Arabidopsis thaliana: one gene and its partner. The protein of the gene in region 2 interacts with the protein of the main gene of each other region in a pairwise test. Each region holds a gene or a part of one and is shown on either strand. Other genes may lie near its edges. The genes, in order: IAA32 and ARF10.

The links.
Region 1: the proteins of ARF10 (region 2) and IAA32 interact in a two-hybrid assay, tested with the Arabidopsis thaliana proteins (2 studies listed by BioGRID).

The regions. Positions count from the first base shown.
Region 1 is NC_003071.7:116,056-120,851, reverse strand, and holds IAA32 (indole-3-acetic acid inducible 32), read right to left. Parts: upstream 2,835-4,796; 5' UTR 2,678-2,834; exon of another isoform or gene 2,484-2,677; 5' UTR 2,468-2,483; coding exon 2,320-2,467; intron 2,217-2,319; coding exon 1,965-2,216; intron 1,886-1,964; coding exon 1,777-1,885; intron 1,700-1,776; coding exon 1,633-1,699; 3' UTR 1,344-1,632; downstream 1-1,343. Other genes in the region: AT2G01210 (Leucine-rich repeat protein kinase family protein), read left to right, coding at 1-588, 664-1,343; PDE331 (Octicosapeptide/Phox/Bem1p family protein), read right to left, coding at 3,556-4,417, 4,529-4,796. UniProt on the Arabidopsis thaliana protein: Aux/IAA proteins are short-lived transcriptional factors that function as repressors of early auxin response genes at low auxin concentrations.
Region 2 is NC_003071.7:12,111,993-12,117,633, reverse strand, and holds ARF10 (auxin response factor 10), read right to left. Parts: upstream 3,746-5,641; 5' UTR 3,304-3,745; coding exon 2,224-3,303; intron 2,142-2,223; coding exon 1,288-2,141; intron 1,204-1,287; coding exon 1,138-1,203; coding exon of another isoform or gene 1,134-1,137; exon of another isoform or gene 1,051-1,133; coding exon 969-1,050; 3' UTR 692-968; downstream 1-691. UniProt on the Arabidopsis thaliana protein: Auxin response factors (ARFs) are transcriptional factors that bind specifically to the DNA sequence 5'-TGTCTC-3' found in the auxin-responsive promoter elements (AuxREs). Could act as transcriptional activator or repressor.

The DNA of each region.
Region 1 (4,796 bases), about 12 Mb from region 2:
GCAACAACCCACCTGAGGATTCTGATAGTACTAACTCTGAAACCAAACAGAAATCAAGTGGTTTGAGCAAAAGCGCCGTCATTGCCATTGTTCTCTGCGACGTGTTTGGTATCTGCCTTGTGGGTTTGCTTTTCACTTACTGCTACTCAAAGTTCTGCGCTTGTAACCGCGAGAACCAATTCGGAGTCGAGAAAGAATCCAAGAAAAGGGCTTCTGAGTGTCTGTGTTTCCGTAAAGACGAATCCGAAACGCCATCTGAAAACGTGGAGCATTGCGACATTGTTCCCCTCGACGCTCAGGTTGCGTTTAACCTGGAGGAGCTGCTAAAGGCGTCAGCTTTCGTTCTGGGGAAGAGCGGAATCGGAATTGTCTACAAAGTGGTTCTAGAGAACGGGCTCACACTGGCCGTACGGAGATTGGGTGAAGGAGGGTCTCAGAGATTCAAGGAGTTTCAGACAGAAGTTGAAGCCATAGGGAAACTAAAACATCCTAACATTGCTAGTCTTCGAGCTTATTATTGGTCTGTCGATGAAAAGCTTCTCATCTACGACTATGTTTCCAACGGTAACCTCGCAACCGCCCTCCACGGTGAGTCACTCTTTTCTCATTTCAAGATGCATTATTCAGTTACATCATCGTAAATGTGTGTGTGTGTATGTGCAGGAAAGCCGGGGATGATGACCATCGCTCCGTTGACATGGTCTGAACGGTTGAGGATAATGAAAGGGATTGCTACAGGGCTTGTTTATCTGCATGAGTTTAGTCCCAAGAAATACGTCCATGGAGATCTCAAGCCAAGCAACATTCTCATTGGACAGGACATGGAACCTAAGATCTCAGATTTTGGACTAGCACGGTTAGCTAACATCGCTGGAGGATCTTCTCCGACCATACAGTCTAACAGAATCATCCAAACGGATCAACAGCCGCAAGAGAGGCAACAACACCATCACAAGAGCGTATCTTCGGAGTTCACTGCTCACTCTTCTTCTGGATCCTACTATCAAGCACCTGAGACTCTCAAGATGGTAAAACCTTCACAGAAGTGGGATGTTTACTCTTATGGGATCATTTTACTGGAATTGATAGCGGGTAGGTCTCCCGCAGTGGAGGTGGGGACATCGGAAATGGATCTAGTGCGGTGGGTACAGGTATGCATTGAGGAGAAGAAACCATTGTGTGATGTTCTTGATCCTTGTTTGGCTCCTGAGGCAGAGACGGAAGACGAGATTGTTGCTGTTCTTAAGATTGCAATCAGTTGCGTGAATAGCAGTCCAGAGAAAAGGCCTACCATGAGGCACGTTTCTGATACGCTCGACAGATTACCCGTGGCCGGCGATTGAGACATCTAGAGATTGCACATAAAGCTTGTTTTGAAATTTGAAGCTGCAATGTATTTTGAAGCATAAGCCTGATGACACTAATGTGGTTACCGTTTGTTTTGTTTTATTTTGTTCTTTTATTTGTCCCAGTCTTGTTGGTGGTTGGTTATTAAGATGTCCCTCTCTTCATAATCGTATTTATAGCTTAAAGCTTCCATTACATCAGATATTGAACAATAGAACCACAAGTGAGCTAATTTGGATCTTAGATAATCAGTGAACGCCCCAGAAGAAGCTTGGACTTAAAAGCTTAAAAGGGAAGAAGAGCATCGTTTCTTCTTGCGATTCGCATCCGATCCACGCTTTCGACAAACTCCCTACAGGTTTCAGACAAATTACAAAGTGGTTAACTTAAAATGCTTAGTTTTTGTATAGAGAAAATGTAAGAGCTTACTTCCATGGAACATCCCCAACATTCCTCCAAATGCCTTCTCTGTCTCTGTAGACCAAAGAGAACTCAGACTCAGTCTGGAACAACCTCAATCCCGACACGGTCTGCATCCCTGCAGATTCGAATTAATGTGGCAAAACCTTCTGAAACATACTTGTAGCTGGAAGCTTGGGGGTCAGAACACGGCTTACCAAACATATCATTGAGCTGAAGAGCAAGAGTTGCGTAAGCTCCTTGATCAACAAGGCAAACCTTGCGCCCTACCACTAGGCCATCCAGATTTACCTTTACGTAAGCATATTTTCCTCTGCTCTCTCCTTCATTATTGTAATATCCTTGGGCAAGTCTTTGGTGTCCAGTGTCCTCACTCTTCAACTGTGTAATGCTGTTATAGCTGGGCTGCGACCAGTCTATGAGCTCTCCATACCCGTCGAGACCTATCACTTTGATTCACATATAGATATTGAAGGTAGCAAGTTGAGGATTAAGAAAACTAACTAATGATGAGGTGAAAGCACGGCTATTCAGCAAAAAAAAAAAACTCACTTCGCGCCGGTGGGAGGTAAGTTTCATGTTGTATGGTCCTAAGGCTGAGGCCTAGATCGATTACCCCACCACCCTTTTTGGTCTGTGAGTAATATGTATGAAACTTGGAAGAACCTTTGAAGAAGTCTGCAGGTGTGTTTGGGTCCATTGATGCTTTTTTATTTCTAAAGATGCAGAGAAGGGAAAGTGAGATGAGAAAAAGAGAGCTCACTTCTAAAGATTTATAGTATGAGCTGATGCTAAAAGAGTGTCAGAAGAGTTAAAGAAAAAAAGACAGAATTGCAGACATGAAAGAGACATAAGACAAGAAAAACCCATTAAGATCCAGTTGGTTTGAAGCAAGGGATGGGGAGCTGACCACAGAGAGAGATTTGGTTCAGATCTTGTAATCCAACCAGGTCTGCCAATGCTTCTGATGCACAAAGTCACATCTCAACTCTGTGAACACTGCAGAAATATTATCTGGGACTATTGACAACTCGATTCAAAGTGAGGCTCTGTGTTGCTTATGAGAGAATAGTGTAGTGCAAGAGTAAAATATCTTTGAGTCATGTATAGAGAGAGAGATAAAAAGGACTGGGTTTGGTGTTTAGGTAAAGATACAAATGCCTATCTCTTTCAAAAGAGATAGTTGTGTTGCTAAATTGCAAGACAGATCGATTTTGTCACTACCTTTTTCACCCACACCTTGTCTCTTAGAAGTTGTAGGGTTTGTGTGTACTTTTGCAAGACCACACACATGTTTTAATATCTGTACCTATGCTCCCATGGATAGCAAGAAGCCAGACATACATTCTTCCAAATATTAAATGTTATACATAACATTTCAGAATCTTTCTGAACAATATTATAGCCTTCAAAGTCTCTTGAAAAAACAAGATAGAGAGATGATGATCAAAAAAGTGATACATTTACAAAATGAAATGAATGATAATAATATGATATAAGATCCAGGAAAATGGTAAAGCACTACATGTATCAATTGCAACTATATAATGTAAAATCCCACCAAGAAGCACTATTTATTTGTTTTTTTAATTTACTCACACAACACTTTTAAACACAACCCATAATACCAAACTTAACATGACACCAGACTCTTTTTTTGATGCAGCAACTTGTAAAAGAAGAGAAGAAAAAAGAAGTAAAAGTTATATATTTATACGTTTAAAAACCAACCCGGGGTTTTCTTCCTCCAAAATTTTGTGGTTCATCTTCATGTGTTCCTTGTGTGTGTCACAATGGCTGTGAACTCCGGATCTGTTGAGTCATGTTCTCAGCTGGAAGCTTAGCAGCAGCAGAACCATCAGGCATCACCATGGCAGGTGGAGGCCCAGTCATTGTCTGGTACTGTGCATGTCCCATAGGTTGAGTGTAGTATATCTGTGTATGAGCATTGTCGACATATTCATATCCATAGTTTGGATTCCCAGCTGAACCAGACTGAGGAGGGTGACGGATCTGCGAATACCCCATGAATTGCTGCTGGTTTGTGGGAATCTGGTGAACCATCTGAGCACCGCCCACACCTGGGGCTGTTGTGTAAACCCCAGCCTGTCCCATCTCAGGTTTGCCACTGCTAACACTTCTCATGTGGTTGTTAGGAGGTGGAGGCATCATGGTAGAGTTGGGATGGTTAGAGGGGATAGACCCTGCAGCATCGCTCACACTTGGAGATTGTGGCACAGGCATACTGTAGGGCCTAGGTGGGACAGGAGCAGTGACATAATAAACAGGATAAGGCTGCTGATCCAGTCGACCTGCGTGTTGATGGAAGGACTGTTGAGGCTGTTGCGAAGGGTAAACCTGGATGTAAGTCGGGACAGGAAGGCCGCTAGACGGATGGTGATGAATGTATTGAGGAGGAGCAGCAGTGTGTATGAACTGCTGCTGTGGCTGAGATTGTGCAGATTGTTGCTCAAACTGGGGGTGAAGGATATAGGCTGGGTCCTGATTCTGATGCTGTGACAAAAGTGTGCTTGGATCTGAGGGATTGATCATACCAGTAACAACGGTAGAGCCAGAAGGTATCTGAGCAATTGGTTCTTGATAGACAGATGGTCTTTGGTGAAACATTGGGTTGCTCATACTGCTATCACTGAGGCATTCATTATATAGCAAACACACAATCAGAGTTCTGACCAATCTTAGTTCTTCTATAGCATCAAATTAAGGCTCATGAGGGTTCCAATATAAGAAGAAAGAGTACCTGGAAACGGAATTGGGTGATGGCAGCTCGTGTCCACCACCGCTATTTGATTTCAGCTGATGAGCCTGCTGAGGCGGTAGATTCTGCGGCTGCGATCGCGGAGTCGGAGGCTTCCTGTATCCAGCCTGCACGCCGTGATCGGATCTCTCGTCATCTGAGTAAACCCTGGCCTGGAACTCATTAGAGACGGTGGCTGCAGTCACAGGCGCAGCAGGAAGGGCGATTGTGACAGGCATCGGCGGTGGTGAAGAGATCGCAGCAAATCCGT
Region 2 (5,641 bases):
GTAACCTGTGAGTAAAAGTAAAACATATCCCATGAAACATTGTAGATATTATAATCATTTTCTGTTTCTGTCGATTTTTAAAGATTCAATTTCTTGTTCTCAGCAGAAAGTTGTATAAACGTACGTGTGTGTGAATAAAATAGTATGTGGTTAATTTTCAAAGCAACTAACTTTAAGTACAAATGAAGGTATCTTAAACCAAATATTTAATAGATCTTCCTCTGCTATTGATTGAACTAATTAAATATGGAGGCAGTGAAGGAGGAGACCAAATTATGAAATTCATGTAGATCCGATGGACAATTAATATTTATTTATTTTCTTGCAGGAAAATTCCATTAAAGTATCGGTGAGTGAAATTTATTGGTGAATATTCTCTTACAAGAAATATGTAAAACAATAATATAAAAATAACCAACAGTTTAGGGAAGCTTTTGAAACAATAATTTAGCTAACAGTAGCTAGCACAAAAAAAAAAGTTAGCTAACAAGACAAAATAATTTCCACTTTTATCTTACAAAAAAGTTAGCTAACAAGCTACAAAAACAAATTTAATAGGAAAATTTGTTTCCATTAAAGAGAATTGAATGATATAGGCTTTTTGTTACTTAGTTCATAGTTCAACACCCAAAATGTGAAATTATATGTAAGCAATTTTTATATACTATTCGTAGAAGTGAACCATAATACACACATTTTACTCATAATAGTCTCTTCTTCAAATTTAGCTTTTGCTAGGTATTACCAAGTGATATGGCAGGTTCTTTGATTATCATATACAACTTGCAACCAAAACAAATAAATTCAAATACCAATTAGAGTACTTTTGGTAACACTTGGGAATGGTTTGTTACACACAAAAGACCAGCAAAAAAAGGATTTAAAATAGGGAAAAAAGAGAATTAAAGACAGAAATAAAATTAGGTTCAAAACAAAGGCCACTGCTTATTCCTCAATATGCTTCAAGTTCAAGCGAAGATGCTGAGCGGACCAGTCTTCGTAGAAGCGTCTATACCATTTTCACCAGTCCTGATTCCGGTTATCCACGTCCTATGCAAACCCGAAAAAAGCAAACTAAACTCGGTATTCCAATCGGTATATAATCAAACCCGAAATGTGAGCTTGAGATAGACTTACTTTCTCACGTTGTCGCCACCAATATCCATCTTGATTGTTAGCCGTTTAGTTGCTTTCATGAAATCACTGCATTTTTAAACCGGTTAATCAATCAAATGACGATAATCGCAAACAAACGGTTAATTGAAAGAATTCTTTTGAGATTTTTACCTGAAAGGTTCGTCTCCAATACGTTTGATAACACCATTTGCATCCCGGTACACAACATGAGTCAACAAATCCGACCTCTCTTCTATATGAAACATCTCAGCCAATTTCCGGTACAATTCTTGGTACGAGCCAATAACCGAGAGATCGAGTGTGCGTCCAACATCCTCAGATTCCATGAAAACTTTACAATGACCCGTCTCAAGTCCTTGCAAACTATAATTCCATGTTAACCCACGAGCCACTAAACCTTTCTCCTCCTCCGCTTCCGCCTCTTCTTCCAAAAACCGTTTTCGGTTCATAACTTGCTGTTCGGTTAAAATCGGTTGACCGAACAACACGAACTGATGAGTCTTAACCGAACCAACAGACTTCTTCTTATCCTGAACCATAGCAGGATTCCCCATAGTTAAAGAACACGAAATGTTATTACTATTCTCACTATCCCTAGCCTGATAATGATGATGCCTCGGGTTGAAACTCGATAGAAACATCGCCGGAGAATGTAACTTGTTGTTACCGGTGTAACTACTAAGATTGAGATCAGACAACAAAGACGGAGATGGTGATCCGAAGAGTTGTTGAGCTTGCCTGGCTCCCTGTATTCCTGCAGGAGCATTATTGTTGTCGTTTGACAGATAACACATGGACTCGCCACCGCCATTGTTGGCGAATCCCGGGGAGAAAATCGGGAATTTAGTACCGTGGAATGGAAACTCAAATGGCTGCGGAATCCTAATCTTCTTCCTCGGAGAGAATGGAGATAAATGTATTGTAGGCATGTTCGATACCAATTCGACTAACCACGGACTAACCCGCTTAACGTTTTGTAACAAATCCGGTTCGTCCCAAGCTACCTATAACAACCAATATAACCGTAACATTAACAAACAAACATGGATTCTGTTAAAAGGAAGAGACTTTGAGTAACTAACTAACCTGAAGGAGACGCCATGGTGAATTAGGCCAACGAATTGGATCAGCGACTTGAACGGCGGAGACAGTACCCATAAACCAACTGATTCTAGAAGAATCCTCTGTTTCAAACGCCATTTTAAAACGCATACCACTACACCATCTTATCCTCATTGCTGATCTAACATCAGCTGCTTTTACGCAAAACTCCGGTGTACTAGCGCGTGGATAATAAACAACCTCAAACGCTTGTCCACACGCTGCACGCGCCACCGCTTCCGCTACTGCTTCTACTCTAACCCTCCCTGTAGCCGCGGCGTTTCCGTCGTTGTTTCCGTTGCGTTTCATCATCATTAGCTTCGATGTTGTTGTTGTTGACTCGTCGTCACGGAGGAAACCGGAGAATCCAGGGTAAGGATTGTCGGATCCTGCGTTAGATCCGAGACCGCCGCGTTTAGCGCGGCGGATTCCGACGCAGAGGTCACCGGATTCAGAACGGAGGAAGACGATTGAGTCTCCGGCGATTAGTTTCTTCTGGTTAACGAAAGTGCTCCAACCGGTGGTTAGGAGATGACGGCGAGGTGTTCCTCTGTAAATATGCCGGAATTTCCAAGTCTCGCCGTGGATGTCTTTAGCAATCACGGTTTGAACCGGTGGCTCCGCCGAGTAATCAAGCCGCGGGAAAATCGTCTCGGCGCAATAACGTGGAACGGAGAAACCACCGCCGTTATTAGCGTCAGACTGCGTTAACGTTTTAGCGAAAGACGCCGGTTTCTCTTTACCGTTACCGTTACCGTCAGAAGAAGGAGGAGTTAGACCCAAAACGGCGTCGTTTTCTAGATCCAAGTCGTTTCCCGGAAGTGGCAAAAGCGTAATTTTAGCAAAAACTTCGTCTGTTTCAGCGTCGGCGAGGAACTTCACGGAGACGACACGACAGAGGATAAGAGGTGGAACGCGCGGCGCGTGAAAATCAGGAGGCGCGTGAGCGTGCTCTGTGTGGCCTTGAGCGAAGTAAAAAACCGTTGAATTCAGTGAAGGGATTTGAACCATTGATCCTGCACAAGCATGCCATAGTTGTGGATCCAAGCTTTTCTCTTGCTCCATCTAGACGAAGTTGTGTAACCCCCAAATTCTTTACTTAAAAGGAAAGATCAATACTTTGTTAAGTTTCAAGACATGAACATCAAGTTCTTGTCTTGAGCAGAGAAGAAGAGAGAGAGAGAGAGAGAGAGAGACAAGAACGGTTTCAGGGGAAATAGAGAAAGCGAAGTGAAAGAGATAGAGAGAGAGAGAGAGATTAGAGTTTAAATTTGCAGAGGAAACAGTAAAGTTTCGACTTTTATGATTTTGTTTCACTTCAAAAGAGGTATAATAGTGAAGGGGGAAAAAGCTTTAATGGCTGATCAGATCGTAGAAGAAGAAGAGAGAGATAGAGAGAGATGCTATAATCAGGTACGGACAAGACCATCGTAATAAATAAACATCTTGTTTTTCTCTTTAGTAATGATGTATACAGAAACAAGAACCAAACAAACCAGAGAGATTATCTCAAACACAAACTTTATAACTCTTTTTATTTTTCATTTTTTTAATATAAATAATATATAATAAATTGTTTTCAAGATAAATAAATTTTGTTTTTTTGTTTGATTAAAAAAAACTGCAACTAACTTGTTTGTTTCATTTGTTGCTTCACTAATAATAATAAAATTAGCAATTTATCGTATCACGAGCCGCGATAATTTGACATGTACCAACAAATTTTTGATTTTTTACTCGAAAAATCAGAAACCATGCTTGACCAGATACAAACCTAACCATGGTTAAATCTTTTTTATCTTTTTTTTTTTACTTTCTGCTTTTCACTTTGACTCTTTTTTTTGCCCGTTAGTGAAAGATGGGTTCCATTACACGATTGTGGTAAAACAAGAAATAGGTTAAACCCATGGTAAATTATATGATGTTGAAATTAGATGCCAAATAAACAGTCCTTTTTTGTACTACACTGGGGTAAAAACTATGATATTTTTAACCCATGCAAATGTTTCTTTTTATTTAAATGAAAAATAAATAGTTGCATATTATTCCCTCATTTCACCTCATTTCACAATAAATTTTCTTTTGATAATTTTCACACAAAAGTATAAATAAAATAAAAATATTCATTAGTTGACTATTGGTTTTCTTCTTCATAAAGTGTTCATTTAGATTTAAAGTTAAATTCTGGAGTCAAACTTTTTAAAAATAAAAATTTCTTCTAGAAAGATTTTTAATTTCAAAATCAATTAATGAAAAAAGGAAACTAAAGAAAATGGATTATGATCCACAACTTTGAAAGAATTACGGAGATGCTCGAATATGGTGGCAGATACTTTAGCAAAACAACATATTCCTTTGAACAACCTCTTTTATTTTTATGCTTTCGTTCCACATGTAATTACTGATCTTCTTCATCGTGACTATGTCACCGCTCGTCAATAACAAAGCTAATGTTTGATGAAAAAAAAAAATAGAATTACGGATAAATAATTATTTAGGAAGGAAAAAAAGAATAATTATGAGTTGTGTAAAATGACGTCATAAAAGTGGGGATAAAACGTACGTGGGAGTAGGAGAAGGGGGTTGACCCGAGAGATGAAAACGCGGCTGTTAAAAAGGGATTGTGGAGATTGGAGTGTGAGTGAGTTCGTTGAAGTTTTGTACTCGTCGATTGTTTTGTCGGATCAATATTATCCAATTATAACCTGACACGACATACCCAACTCATCCGTATATTGGTCCTTTTTTCTCTGCAACTATTTTACCATCAAATTATATTTACTCATAACAATTTTAAACGTTGATTGGTAAGTGTTTTTGTTGTATTTATCCTTCTGTATAGTTAGAAATAATTCAAAATTTGTGTCTCATCTTTAGAAATTAGTTTCATAAAATCTAGAAAATCTGTTTCTTTATATTTTGAAAACTAGATTTTCCTCGTACGTTGTCTATTTTAGTTGAATAATAAAAACAAATTTGTGTTTTTTTTGCTTCAAACAAAAGTAATATAAGGAAGTATAGCTTACTAACTTCATTAGAATATTAGAAATTAATTATATAACTCAACCAAAAACTTCTACCATCGAAGAATAATAACTCTTAAAGTCCAAATTAAAAAGATTTCCATCTAAGGCCTAAGTTTTGTTCTTAGGTGAGGCATAACGTCAATTTTTCTGCTTCCAGTTTAAAACTTTAAGTCGTTCCGAAAAAAGAACAAAAAAACTAATTTTGCATTTGTGTTTGATTGTGAAAAATATGTTTTTTTAAAAGTAGATTCGCAAAACAGATTAGTCACAAAACAGCTTTACATGGGTTTTCAGTTATGTTTTTCTATCTTAACTTCAAAAATGATAAGTTAAAAAAATACACGAATCTCTTTTTGTCTCTACAACAATTATTTTTA